2 linked regions of the Arabidopsis thaliana genome follow. The protein of the gene in region 1 interacts with the protein of each later gene in a pairwise test. Each region holds a gene or a part of one and is shown on either strand. Other genes may lie near its edges. The genes, in order: MEKK3 and CNGC17.

Region 1 (5,740 bases):
ACGTAACAGATATATTTGAATTCCTTCCACTTTCATTGTAGTTTAGGCTATACTTGATCAGGTTATATGTTACAGTTTTTCCTAAATGGAACATAATAATTTGATCAGGTTATTAACCGGAAGGATAATGATGGTTACAGAAGTCCAGCTGATATATGGAGCCTCGGGTGCACTGTGCTGGAAATGTGTACTGGTCAGATCCCATACTCTGATCTAGAACCCGTAAGTCTTCAGGATTTTCAAACTTTTGAACTGTCTTATAATCTTAAACGACATTGAAGGGTCTACTTAATGGGATTTTATGAGTTAAAGGTCAGAATTTGTGCAAACGCGCAGGTTGAAGCCCTGTTTAGGATCAGAAGGGGTACGCTTCCGGAAGTACCTGATACTTTATCACTAGACGCTCGGCATTTCATACTTAAGTGTCTCAAATTGAACCCGGAAGAGCGTCCAACTGCAACTGAGCTACTGAACCATCCATTTGTGAGAAGGCCCTTACCATCCTCAGGCTCAGGATCAACATCTCCGCTAATCCGTAGATGAATCTAATTTTATTAGATTGCCTCCATAGGTGAAGCCTCTAGTTTCGTTTTATTGAGAATATATTAGGATCAAACGCTATATTCTAACATTGATATCTTAATGTATGAGAGCAGGGGTAACCAGAAGGTTTATGAGATATTAGACCCCATAGAAACTTTAGGGGAGACACGAGATATGATTCTTTGATACATATGCTGTTTTGGTTGCGCAGCAAGAGCTAAACTTTCTCGAGACATATCTTCAGGTAGTTTCTGTCTCATTCATTGGTTGGTTGTTGTAAGTTGTGTCACTTGTGTGTGTTGAGCTTATATTTAAAACTGAAGAGCCTTGGTTAAATTAGAGTTTTGGGTGCATAGGTTTGTTTAGTTTTGTTAAATTATAGTATCATGTAATGTATAAGAAGAACCTTAGTTGATTTAGAGTTTCGGGTGTATAGGCTTGTTTGGTTTTGATAAATTATATAGTGTATGCATGTAACCCATATCATGTAATGTGTAATTATAGTTGGCTCTTATATAGTTCCTGCTTGTTGCAACTGTTTACACATCTCATGTCTCGATGGATTTAATCTCCAATTTTTCTTATATATATATCTGAATTATACATGCATACATACACTATAATTTAACAAAACTAAACTTTTCTTTTGGGTGCAAAAACATAACCTATATTCATCTCTTAATTATTTTACGCTGAAGAAATCTGCTGTTTCAATTAAAAAAGTATGGTCAAACCAACATTTTCTTTGAAATTTTGGTGAAAGCCACTCTCATTGAAGTGTATATATGATTCAACTTGTTTCTTACAATATTTGCCCCGTTGAAAACTTTTTTGCCATCGATGAGTTTCTTTAAGGGCAAAGTTCCTTTAAGAAATGCTTTTAGATTTCTTTGTATACCTATGAATTTTTAATCAAGTGATGAAGACACGGAGAAAAATCCTAAATTGATGCTAAATATTTTATCTGTGGACTTAACCAAGTCTCCCACAAAAATAATACAAGAATCTGCAACAATTTTTAAAATTCAGTATTCAATTATTATTCAGATACTATTACTAGATTGAAAATTCAACTCTTGTCATAAGTCGTCGTCAACTTCTTTTGTTTGCTTCTTCCTTTTTCTCTAACAGGTGCAGTGTTACTGCCAGTTGTTTGGATATTTCCACTTGTGTATTTATTCTCTCTATCTCTTTGACGTCGTCTACAGACTACAATGGACGTAACTGCTATCTTCGCCGGTGATATTTTGGTGCAATCCAGAGAGTATCTTATCCCTAATGATGTTGTGGATGTTGATGGTGGTATTAAAGCGGTAAGACCACCAATAATTCAGCCCCCTCCGGGAAGAAAACTACCTCTTATTGACTTTCCAGGATCATCGTGGGATTTCCTTACGTATTTTGCTCCAAGTAAAACAGTTAAGCGGCAGAGTTCCTCCTCTTCTGATAATACCTCTGATAAAGAGGAAGTTGAAACGGAAGAGACGCGAGGTATGTTTGTCCAGTTGGGGGATACGGCTCATGAGGCATGCCCATTCGCTACAAACGAGGCTGACTCCTCCAGTACAGTATCCATTATTTCGCCGAGTTATGCCTCTAGAGGTTCTATCGTCCCTTCTTGGCTGAAGAGGAAATTTCTGGGACGAGTATCATTAGGTTTTGTGTATGAAGGCAGTTCAGGGTAAGTGCTAATATCTGTAGCATTATCTCATTGCTATATCTTTTATTTTCTATGGGAGATTGCACTACTTAGTCAGCTTCAGCATCATAATATCATGTCTTCTTCTAGTTCCTCCGTTGGTTCCGAGTCGACTTGTTCCTTGATGACGCCTTCTCTGGAGTTCCCGGATCGCATCAGTTTCCGGAAAAAGGATTTCAGTGAAAAAGGTCCTAGTCGACACGTTTGGGAAAAGCGTAAATTGACGCGTGCCAAGTTGATTGAAAATTTTTGCAATCCGGAGGACATTGAACCAGTCACATCTTGGCTGAAGGGTCAACTTCTAGGAGAAGAATCATTTGCCTCTGTGTATGAAGCCATTTCAGAGTAAGTCTTACTGGTTGCTTATGTTTGTTGAACTTAAAATTAGATACTTAGTTTATAGGAAAATAAACTTTAAATTGGGAAATGTGATGCAGTGCGAGAGTTTTTCTTTGTGTGTTTTGTTGATGCTTTTTGATGGATGTTTATGTTATCCTTTAGATCAAATTATACACTCTTTAGTTGGGAAGAAAAGAACAACATGCCTATTTACAATAAGATGTTTAATGAGTTGAAAAATACGGTGCAAAGCGACTTTTATGGTTGCATTACCATTGTGGCATTATCTCATTGTCTTCTCTTTCATTTTTTATGGGAGATTGCATTACTTAGTCAGCTTCAGCGTCATTATATCATGTCTTTTTCTAGTTCCTCTGTTGGTTCCGAGTCGACTTGTTCCTTGATGACGCCTTCTATGGAGTTCCCGGATCGCATCAGTTTCCGAAAAAGGGATTTCAGCGAAGAAGGTCCTAGTGGACGTGTTAAGGAAAAGCGTAAATTGATGCGTAACAAGTTGATTGAGAATTTTCGTAAGCCTGAGGATATCACGTCTTGGCTGAAGGGTCAACTTCTAGGACGAGGATCATATGCCTCTGTGTATGAAGCCATTTCAGAGTAAGTCTTACTGGTTGCTTACGTTTGTTGACCTTAAAGTAAGATACTTGGTTGAGCCAACATATGCTTTTTTGGCTGGTGGTTTATGTTAAATGTAGAGATGGGGACTTCTTTGCTGTCAAGGAAGTTTCACTTCTTGATAAGGGAATTCAGGCACAAGAATGCATTCAACAACTTGAGGGGGTATGAAAGTCATATACATCAGTTATCCGTAGCATTTATCACTTCTTTCATTGTAGCATTATTGCATTGATCGGTCAAAAGTAGGTTGCTAATCGACCTTACATTTGCCACATTTTTCATTTTTTATTTTTCTACAGGAGATTGCACTACTTAGTCAGCTTCAGCATCAGAATATTGTGCGATATCGTGGCACAGCCAAGGTGTAGTCTTGTTCTCTCTTTCTTGTTCTCAGTTGCATTTTGTTGTGCAATTGGTAACTCCTTTCACTGTTTACAGGACGTGTCAAAATTGTACATCTTTCTTGAGCTTGTAACCCAAGGATCCGTTCAAAAACTCTACGAAAGATACCAACTTAGCTACACAGTAGTCTCCTTGTATACAAGACAAATTCTTGCTGGGTTGAATTATCTCCACGATAAAGGCTTTGTTCACAGGTTTGACTAGTAAACTCTCTTGTCATAGTATTTCTTAAAAATCTGATTTCTTTCATGTGTTACTTACTTTTCTCATCTGATGCGACAAAGGGACATTAAATGTGCAAATATGTTGGTGGACGCTAATGGCACCGTCAAACTTGCAGATTTTGGATTGGCAGAGGTTCTTTTCCATTAATAGATGTTTGTAGTTTTATTACTAATTAATAATATGGTACATCGCTTATCCCACTGACATGGTACCTGTGTCATTTTGTTATATAGGCGTCAAAGTTCAACGACATTATGTCTTGCAAGGGAACATTATTTTGGATGGCTCCGGAGGTAATTGTGTTGGGATCCTTCTCATTGTTTTGGATTGTGTGAATACAATGATAGACAACATATCATACATCAATAGCAATGTTCTCGGCATTGATAACCTTAAAAAAACCCGATTATGTTTCCTTCAAGGTATTTGGTTAAATTTTTGTTTATGGTGAGTTGGTAACTGTTAGTATGTTTATACTCGAGGCTATACTTGTATGGTTATTTCTAAATAGAACATAACCATTTGATCAGGTTATTAACCGAAAGGATAGTGATGGCAATGGAAGTCCAGCTGATATATGGAGCCTTGGGTGCACTGTGCTGGAAATGTGTACTGGTCAGATCCCCTACTCCGATCTAAAACCCGTAAGTCTTCAAGATTTTCAAACTTTTGAACTGTCTTAGTAATCTTAAACGACATTTGAAGTGTCTACTTTATGGGATTTTATGAGTTAAAGGTCAGAATTTGTGAAAACGCGCAGATTCAAGCCGCGTTTAAGATTGGAAGGGGTACGCTTCCAGACGTACCTGATACTTTATCACTAGACGCTCGGCATTTCATACTTACGTGTCTCAAAGTGAACCCGGAAGAGCGGCCAACTGCAGCTGAACTGCTGCACCATCCATTTGTTATAAATCTTTGATTCTTACGCTGAAACAATCAAACTATGCAATAGTATGGCGAAAACCATTTCTTTGATTCTGGTCAAAGCCAAGTTAATTGAAGTGTGAAGTGTCTATATAATTCAACTTGTTTCCCGTTGAAGAGTTATCGCAATGATGGATTTATAAAACTTATTCGAAAGGTTTTCGACTCCGTACACCGTACAGATGTACGTATGACCATAATAGATAATAGTACACACATGTAGATAGTTCCTTTCCAAAATCTACATTGTAGTAGTACGAGGATCACTTGGACCGTTTCCAAAGATCCGTCATTTTGGAAACAAATGTAAGAATGAAGAAAAACCTTCTCTAACGTCAATCGAAAAATAGTAATTTAATTACCGTTATCTAATAATACTAACAATCTGAATATATGCTTTTTGCACTGTAAACAGCTACATCTTTTTATCGTAACTTTTCGCTAAAATAATTATGGTTATTTTTTTACTGTTTTTTTGTTCAATTACAGTCGTTTCTTTTCGCATATGAATAGTTACATCTTTTTATCGCAATTTTTTATTAAAATATTTACGATTTTGTCTTTTAATAGCATATTTTCGTTTAAATATATTTCGTGATTCTTTTTTGATAGTCAAATTTTTTTTAACTACATTTCTATCTTTTCGGTTTACGGTTGTAATGAAGAAAAATTCTTTCTAATGCCCTTTTCATGATGCCCTTTTTCAACTCTACCTTTTTTTTTAATCCATTTTTATTTCTATCCTCTTTAAATTTTTAATGACCATTTTACCCCTATTTGAAAATTGTTTTAGGTTAACAAAATGAAATATTAATACTTTTCGCCCAAATATTTCAAGATAAATTTCCCGCAAAAAAATTTCAAAAAAATATTCCCGCCAAAAATTTTCGAAAAATAATTTTTCCGCCAAATGTTTTCCTGCAAAATTTTTTTTTTGGCGAGAAATAGATTTACAAGGGATTTTAAAAA
Region 2 (5,691 bases), 9.5 Mb from region 1:
GTTTTCTTGTAACGCCAAACTACATTCTGTATGATCAAAATTTAGTAACATAATTTATCAGAACCCCATTGTTTTAAAACGTGTCTGTGTATTTGTGTTTATATACGCTTAATCTTCTTCTTTCTAGTTAAATTTAATCAATTTAATGAAAAATTTGGTATATAAAAAAAAAGACTTTGCTCACGAGTTCCTCTCATAAGGGCCAAAACTAGTTAAAAAGTTATCGTCAAAAACTGATATAAAAAAGATGTCCGAATATTCCCGCATATAAATATCTATCAGACAAACTCTTTTGTACAATATACTTTGAATCCGATAAATTTTCGATCTTCAAAATCCATAAAAATCTCTCCTTTATTTAGCCCTAAAACAGAGTATTAGAGTTTGATTCGTAAAAGAGAATATTTTTAATCTCCGCCGCAAGTCGATGTCGATAACGATTCCCTACGATGGCTCAATCTCCCGCGAGCCATCACCGTCTCCACCGCCGCCAAAAGCGAACACGAAGAATCTACCGACGAAGATTCTCTCTAACTTCCTCATAGGTCTAATCATGATCCCTGTAGCTATAACCGCTTTTATCTTTATCCTCACGTCTCTCGGTTTCACCTTCTTCTTCGCTTTCTACTGGTTTCTTCAACGAAACTATCGCCACCGTCTCCGCCGCCATCGCCGTCACGAATACTCAGATGGGTTATCTCCAAGATGCGTGAAGAGGCTTCCTCAATTCAAGTATTGTGAGCCTAGTTCAGAGTACGGAGGCGATGATTGTGTTGTTTGTATCGATGGATTTAGACAAGGACAGTGGTGTCGGAAGCTGCCTCGATGTGGACATGTGTTTCACCGAAAGTGTGTGGACTTGTGGTTGATTAAAGTCTCGACTTGTCCGATTTGTAGGGATAGGGTTTATAGATTTGAAGAAGGAAGAAGATGGAGACCACAAGGTGAAATTTTTTGATCGGTGGTTTTATAATTAGATTTGAAAGTGTGTTTAGTTTGTTATCATATTTAGCAGCAATTTTGGTTTTCATCAATAGTCATGTACAGTGTCTTTTTTTTTTTTTTACACGGCTTCACAATTGAAAGCTTGTTTCTTCACCGTTTGATGAATTTGATCCAATAAGAGAATGATGGGTTTCTGTAGAATTTAACTTAGTTTGAGGTTTGATTATCATGCCAATTATTAAATTCAATCTAGTCAATTACTGATAGAAATGTTGTCCATTTGTCACTTTAAACATGTTGCTTATGTTACCTTAATGATTTCTCATAATTTCACTTGAGATTCAGTGGTTAATCATCAATGTTTCTGTTTCAATTTGTCCATGATGAAGTATAAGTTCTAAGTAAAGCTTGGTTCATGTGATTTTAATTTACCTACTTCACCTCCAAAGTTATGTCAACTATGTTTTCAAGTGTGTGATTCAAAAGTTTATATTGAACATAAAAATAAAGGAGGCTAAAGAATCGTTTTCTGATTGGAATGTGAGATTGTGACTCACACGGAGAAAGTGATTGTGATTGGATCTGACTATAAGACTAAAGAAGTGTTTTTGTGAAGTAACAAGTAACATTGTCTAATTAGTGTTTTGTATTGTAAACTAATAATGACTTTGATTAACGAAATAATGTCACTTTAGTCAAATGTGTTGACTTTCTTGTCTTATACCGATGGCTCAAGTATTCCCAAGAAAAAAAAACAAATATCCCTCCGATTTCTGACTCGTCCCGTGACTCAGTGATTCTCCTCTTCCAATCCTCTCCGGAAGAACTAAACAAAAACACGATCTTTCTCAGATTTAGAGAGAGTAAGAGTGAGAGAGTGTCAGAGACACGAATCAAAGAAATGATTTTTAAAAGCTTCTGTTAATTCTAATTTGCATAGATTTGTTTACTCGAGCTTGAGCTTGAGCTTCTTCTAATGGAGTTAAGGAAGGACAAGCTTCTTATGTAAGTTTTCTTTCTCTCATCCGTCGGTTAGACTTACGTTCCTGAAAGTCTTCAACTTTGATTGCCCAGAAATTAAAAATTCTAGACTTTGCTTTAGATTTATCTCTTCTTTAGATGTTACAAGCTCAAGCTCCGATTTTGGGTACTGGGTTTAACTTAAATCTCTAGTTAGGTTTCAGATTACAGATTTGAGTTGTGTATTGCTTTGTAGGTTTTACTCAGAGGGGAAAGAAAGCAAAGAAGCTAAATGGGCAGTGAATGATCCAATGAGCAAATCTTATAAGCTCTCTTTACCTTCAGCACTAAGACCTGATAATCTCTTACCTGGAAATAGACTTAGATACACTGATGCTTCTAAGTCCAAATCTTCTAAAGTCTCATGGTACAAGACTATTCTTGATCCAGGAAGTGAGATTGTCTTGAAATGGAATTGGGTCTTCATTGTCTCATGTATGGTTGCTCTCTTCATCGACCCGTTGTACTTCTTTGTCCCAGCTATAGGAGGAGATAAAAACTATCCTTGTGCAAGGACTGATACAAGTTTAAGCATCCTTGTTACTTTCTTCAGGACAATAGCGGATCTTTTCTACTTGCTGCACATTTTCATTAAGTTTAGGACTGGTTTCATTGCGCCTAATTCAAGTACTAGAGTGTTTGGTAGAGGTGAGCTTGTGATGGATCCTAAGGCTATTGCTTGGAGGTATATTAAATCTGACTTCATCATCGATCTCATTGCGACGTTACCACTTCCACAGATAGTTATCTGGTTTGTTATATCGACTACAAAAAGTTACCGGTTTGATCATAACAACAATGCTATTGCTTTGATTGTGCTCCTCCAATACATCCCAAGATTCTATTTGATAATTCCGTTAAGTTCTCAAATTGTTAAAGCAACTGGAGTTGTTACAAAGACTGCTTGGGCTGGAGCTGCTTATAATCTTTTGCTATACATGCTGGCTAGTCATGTATGAATCCCATTCCTTCTTCTTCCATTATTTCATTCCTTAAATGTGATGATAATCAAAGCTACAATGTTTTTGTTGGGACAGGTGCTTGGTGCAGCCTGGTATATATTATCGGTTGATAGATATACATCGTGCTGGAAATCAAGATGCAATGGTGAAGCTGGCCAAGTTAATTGTCAGCTATATTACTTAGACTGTGATTCAATGTATGACAATAATCAGATGACTTGGGCAAATGTCACAAAAGTGTTTAAACTCTGTGATGCACGGAATGGCGAGTTCAAGTATGGGATCTTTGGGAATGCAATCACGAAAAACGTTGTGTCTTCACAGTTCTTCGAGAGATATTTCTACTGTTTGTGGTGGGGATTGCAGCAGCTTAGGTAATGGCAGAGATCATAGAAATTTTTTGATACCAATTATTACTCTCCTTTTGATTACAAGTTTTAGAATCTGATGACATTTTCCTGTTATTGTCATATTCTAGTTCTTATGGACAGAATTTGTCCACGACCATGTTCATGGGCGAAACCACATTTGCTGTTCTCATTGCAATCTTTGGTCTTGTCCTCTTTGCCCATCTCATTGGGAATATGCAGGTATGGATTCCTGCGTTAGGATAAGTTCTAAAAGTATCTGCTTTTGTTCTTATGTTTCTTGGGTTTTGCCTTTTGTTTGTTAGACATATCTGCAATCTTTGACTGTACGGCTTGAGGAATGGAGATTGAAGAAGAGAGACACTGAGGAGTGGATGAGACATCGTCAACTTCCTGAAGAGTTGAGAAACCGTGTGAGGCGATATGAGCAGTATAAGTGGCTTGCAACAAGAGGAGTCGATGAAGAGGTTCTCCTGCAAAGTTTACCCACTGATCTTCGCCGTGATATTCAACGTCACCTATGTTTAGATCTTGTTCGAAGAGTAAGTTTTTCTATTGATTTGTTTATCCTACAAATGGTTCAACTTTTAGGTTAACTACTATCTTGAATCATGCAGGTCCCATTTTTCTCTCAAATGGATGATCAGCTGCTTGATGCGATATGTGAGCGCCTGGTTTCTTCTCTGTGTACTGAAGGGACTTACCTTGTACGTGAAGGTGACTTGATCTCAGAGATGCTCTTCATCATCAGAGGTAGACTCGAGAGTTCCACAACCAATGGAGGCAGAACCGGTTTCTTCAACTCGATTATACTTAGACCTGGAGATTTCTGTGGGGAAGAGCTTCTTTCTTGGGCTTTGCTTCCAAAATCAACCTTGAATTTACCATCTTCTACAAGAACAGTTAGGGCTTTAGTTGAAGTCGAAGCATTCGCTCTTCGAGCTGAAGATTTGAAATTTGTTGCAAATCAGTTTAGGCGGTTACACAGCAAGAAGCTTCAACATACATTCAGATTCTACTCTCACCATTGGAGAACTTGGGCTGCTTGCTTCATACAAGCGGCTTGGCGCAGGTACAAGAGAAGAGTTATGGAGAATAACCTCACTGCGATTGAATCAATGGAAAATGAAGAAGGAGAAGTAGGAGAAGAATTAGTAGTAGTAGAAGAAGAAGAGTGTGTTGAGGAGAGTCCTAGAACAAAGATGAACCTTGGAGTTATGGTTTTGGCATCGCGTTTTGCAGCTAATACAAGACGCGGTGTTGCAGCTCAGAGAGTTAAGGATGTAGAATTACCCCGGTTTAAGAAACCCGAGGAGCCTGATTTCTCTGCTGAGCATGATGATTGACTGATGTATAACCAGGAGAAGAAGCTGACTTTGTTCCATAGAAGATCTTAATGACAAGAACACTACAGAGTAAGTTTCCTGTTCCTTTGGGAGACATAAAGAAAGAAACTCAAGGCGGGTTTTGGTTTGTACACTTAAACATCTTTTGTAATATAAGCTTGGAGAATTAGTTTTGTTGTACTATTAAAGAACTCGTTTCTAAATTCTCTAAATGTAAAGATGAGGAAGTTGAAGTGGATTATGTACAAATCACATCAAACCTTGCAAAATTGATTGAACCAACAAGGAAGTAAAAAGATGTCTAAGCCCATTCGTCAAAGCCCCTATATGCCGTGGTTACTGACTTACTGTAACGTTGAGAATAAGATGGTAAAGAAAGAAAAAATATATTTTCTTGAGCATGTTGCATATTGCTATCGACACAAGCTTCTTTTTAAAGAAAGGTAGACTCACTTAATCAATAGACATAAGATCATACTAATGATGAGTTTGGACTTTGGTCCATGGGAAAAAGTTAAAATGTTTACTTGCTTTCTCTACTGACCTAGATATGTCGGATCAAATCATAATCTACATTACAGGATTACATACATATTTGGGATTTTTCTTTTTGCAATATGGCCACAAGACCAGCTCAATGTAATCATGGATTCTTAGTCGATTTAAAAAGTTGTAAATATTTTAAACTAACATATTGAAAAGTTTCTGAAAATTTCTTGTCCCATATAATATACAAATAAATTTTATGGTCTTGAATGACAATAACAATATAGTATGGCACAAGAAGTTAGATTGAACGGAAACTGAATCATGAAAACAATGGTTTTCAACAATCATAATTATAGTAACATATATTAATATTTTGAATCGTTTATTAATATGTGAAATTTTTAAACATGCATGCATATATTAAGAGATGACATAGTAGTTGTACCTTATAGTGTGTAGTTGCTCACTAGAGAAGTTAAGTTCATGTCCCCTTTCCAAAAAGCTCAAATTCAACATTAGGTTTCAATCATGTAAGGTTGAGATCCGCGACCCCTTTTAGTT

The links.
Region 2: the proteins of MEKK3 (region 1) and CNGC17 interact in a protein complementation assay, tested with the Arabidopsis thaliana proteins (one large-scale study listed by BioGRID).

What each region holds. Positions count from the first base shown.
Region 1 is NC_003075.7:5,383,056-5,388,795, reverse strand, and holds MEKK3 (MAPK/ERK kinase kinase 3), read left to right. Parts: upstream 1-1,535; 5' UTR 1,536-1,757; coding exon 1,758-2,224; intron 2,225-2,332; coding exon 2,333-2,587; intron 2,588-2,950; coding exon 2,951-3,196; intron 3,197-3,294; coding exon 3,295-3,379; intron 3,380-3,516; coding exon 3,517-3,579; intron 3,580-3,655; coding exon 3,656-3,813; intron 3,814-3,903; coding exon 3,904-3,976; intron 3,977-4,077; coding exon 4,078-4,137; coding exon of another isoform or gene 4,138-4,179; exon of another isoform or gene 4,180-4,374; coding exon 4,375-4,488; intron 4,489-4,604; coding exon 4,605-4,766; 3' UTR 4,767-4,944; downstream 4,945-5,740. Other genes in the region: MAPKKK9 (mitogen-activated protein kinase kinase kinase 9), read left to right, coding at 109-222, 337-543.
Region 2 is NC_003075.7:14,854,010-14,859,700, reverse strand, and holds CNGC17 (cyclic nucleotide-gated channel 17), read left to right. Parts: upstream 1-1,681; 5' UTR 1,682-1,921; coding exon 1,922-1,950; intron 1,951-2,161; coding exon 2,162-2,918; intron 2,919-3,002; coding exon 3,003-3,301; intron 3,302-3,405; coding exon 3,406-3,517; intron 3,518-3,600; coding exon 3,601-3,837; intron 3,838-3,912; coding exon 3,913-4,641; 3' UTR 4,642-5,007; downstream 5,008-5,691. Other genes in the region: AT4G30370 (RING/U-box superfamily protein), read left to right, coding at 428-958. UniProt on the Arabidopsis thaliana protein: Probable cyclic nucleotide-gated ion channel. Forms a functional cation-translocating unit with AHAs that is activated by PSKR1/BAK1 and possibly other BAK1/RLK complexes. Required for PSK-induced protoplast expansion.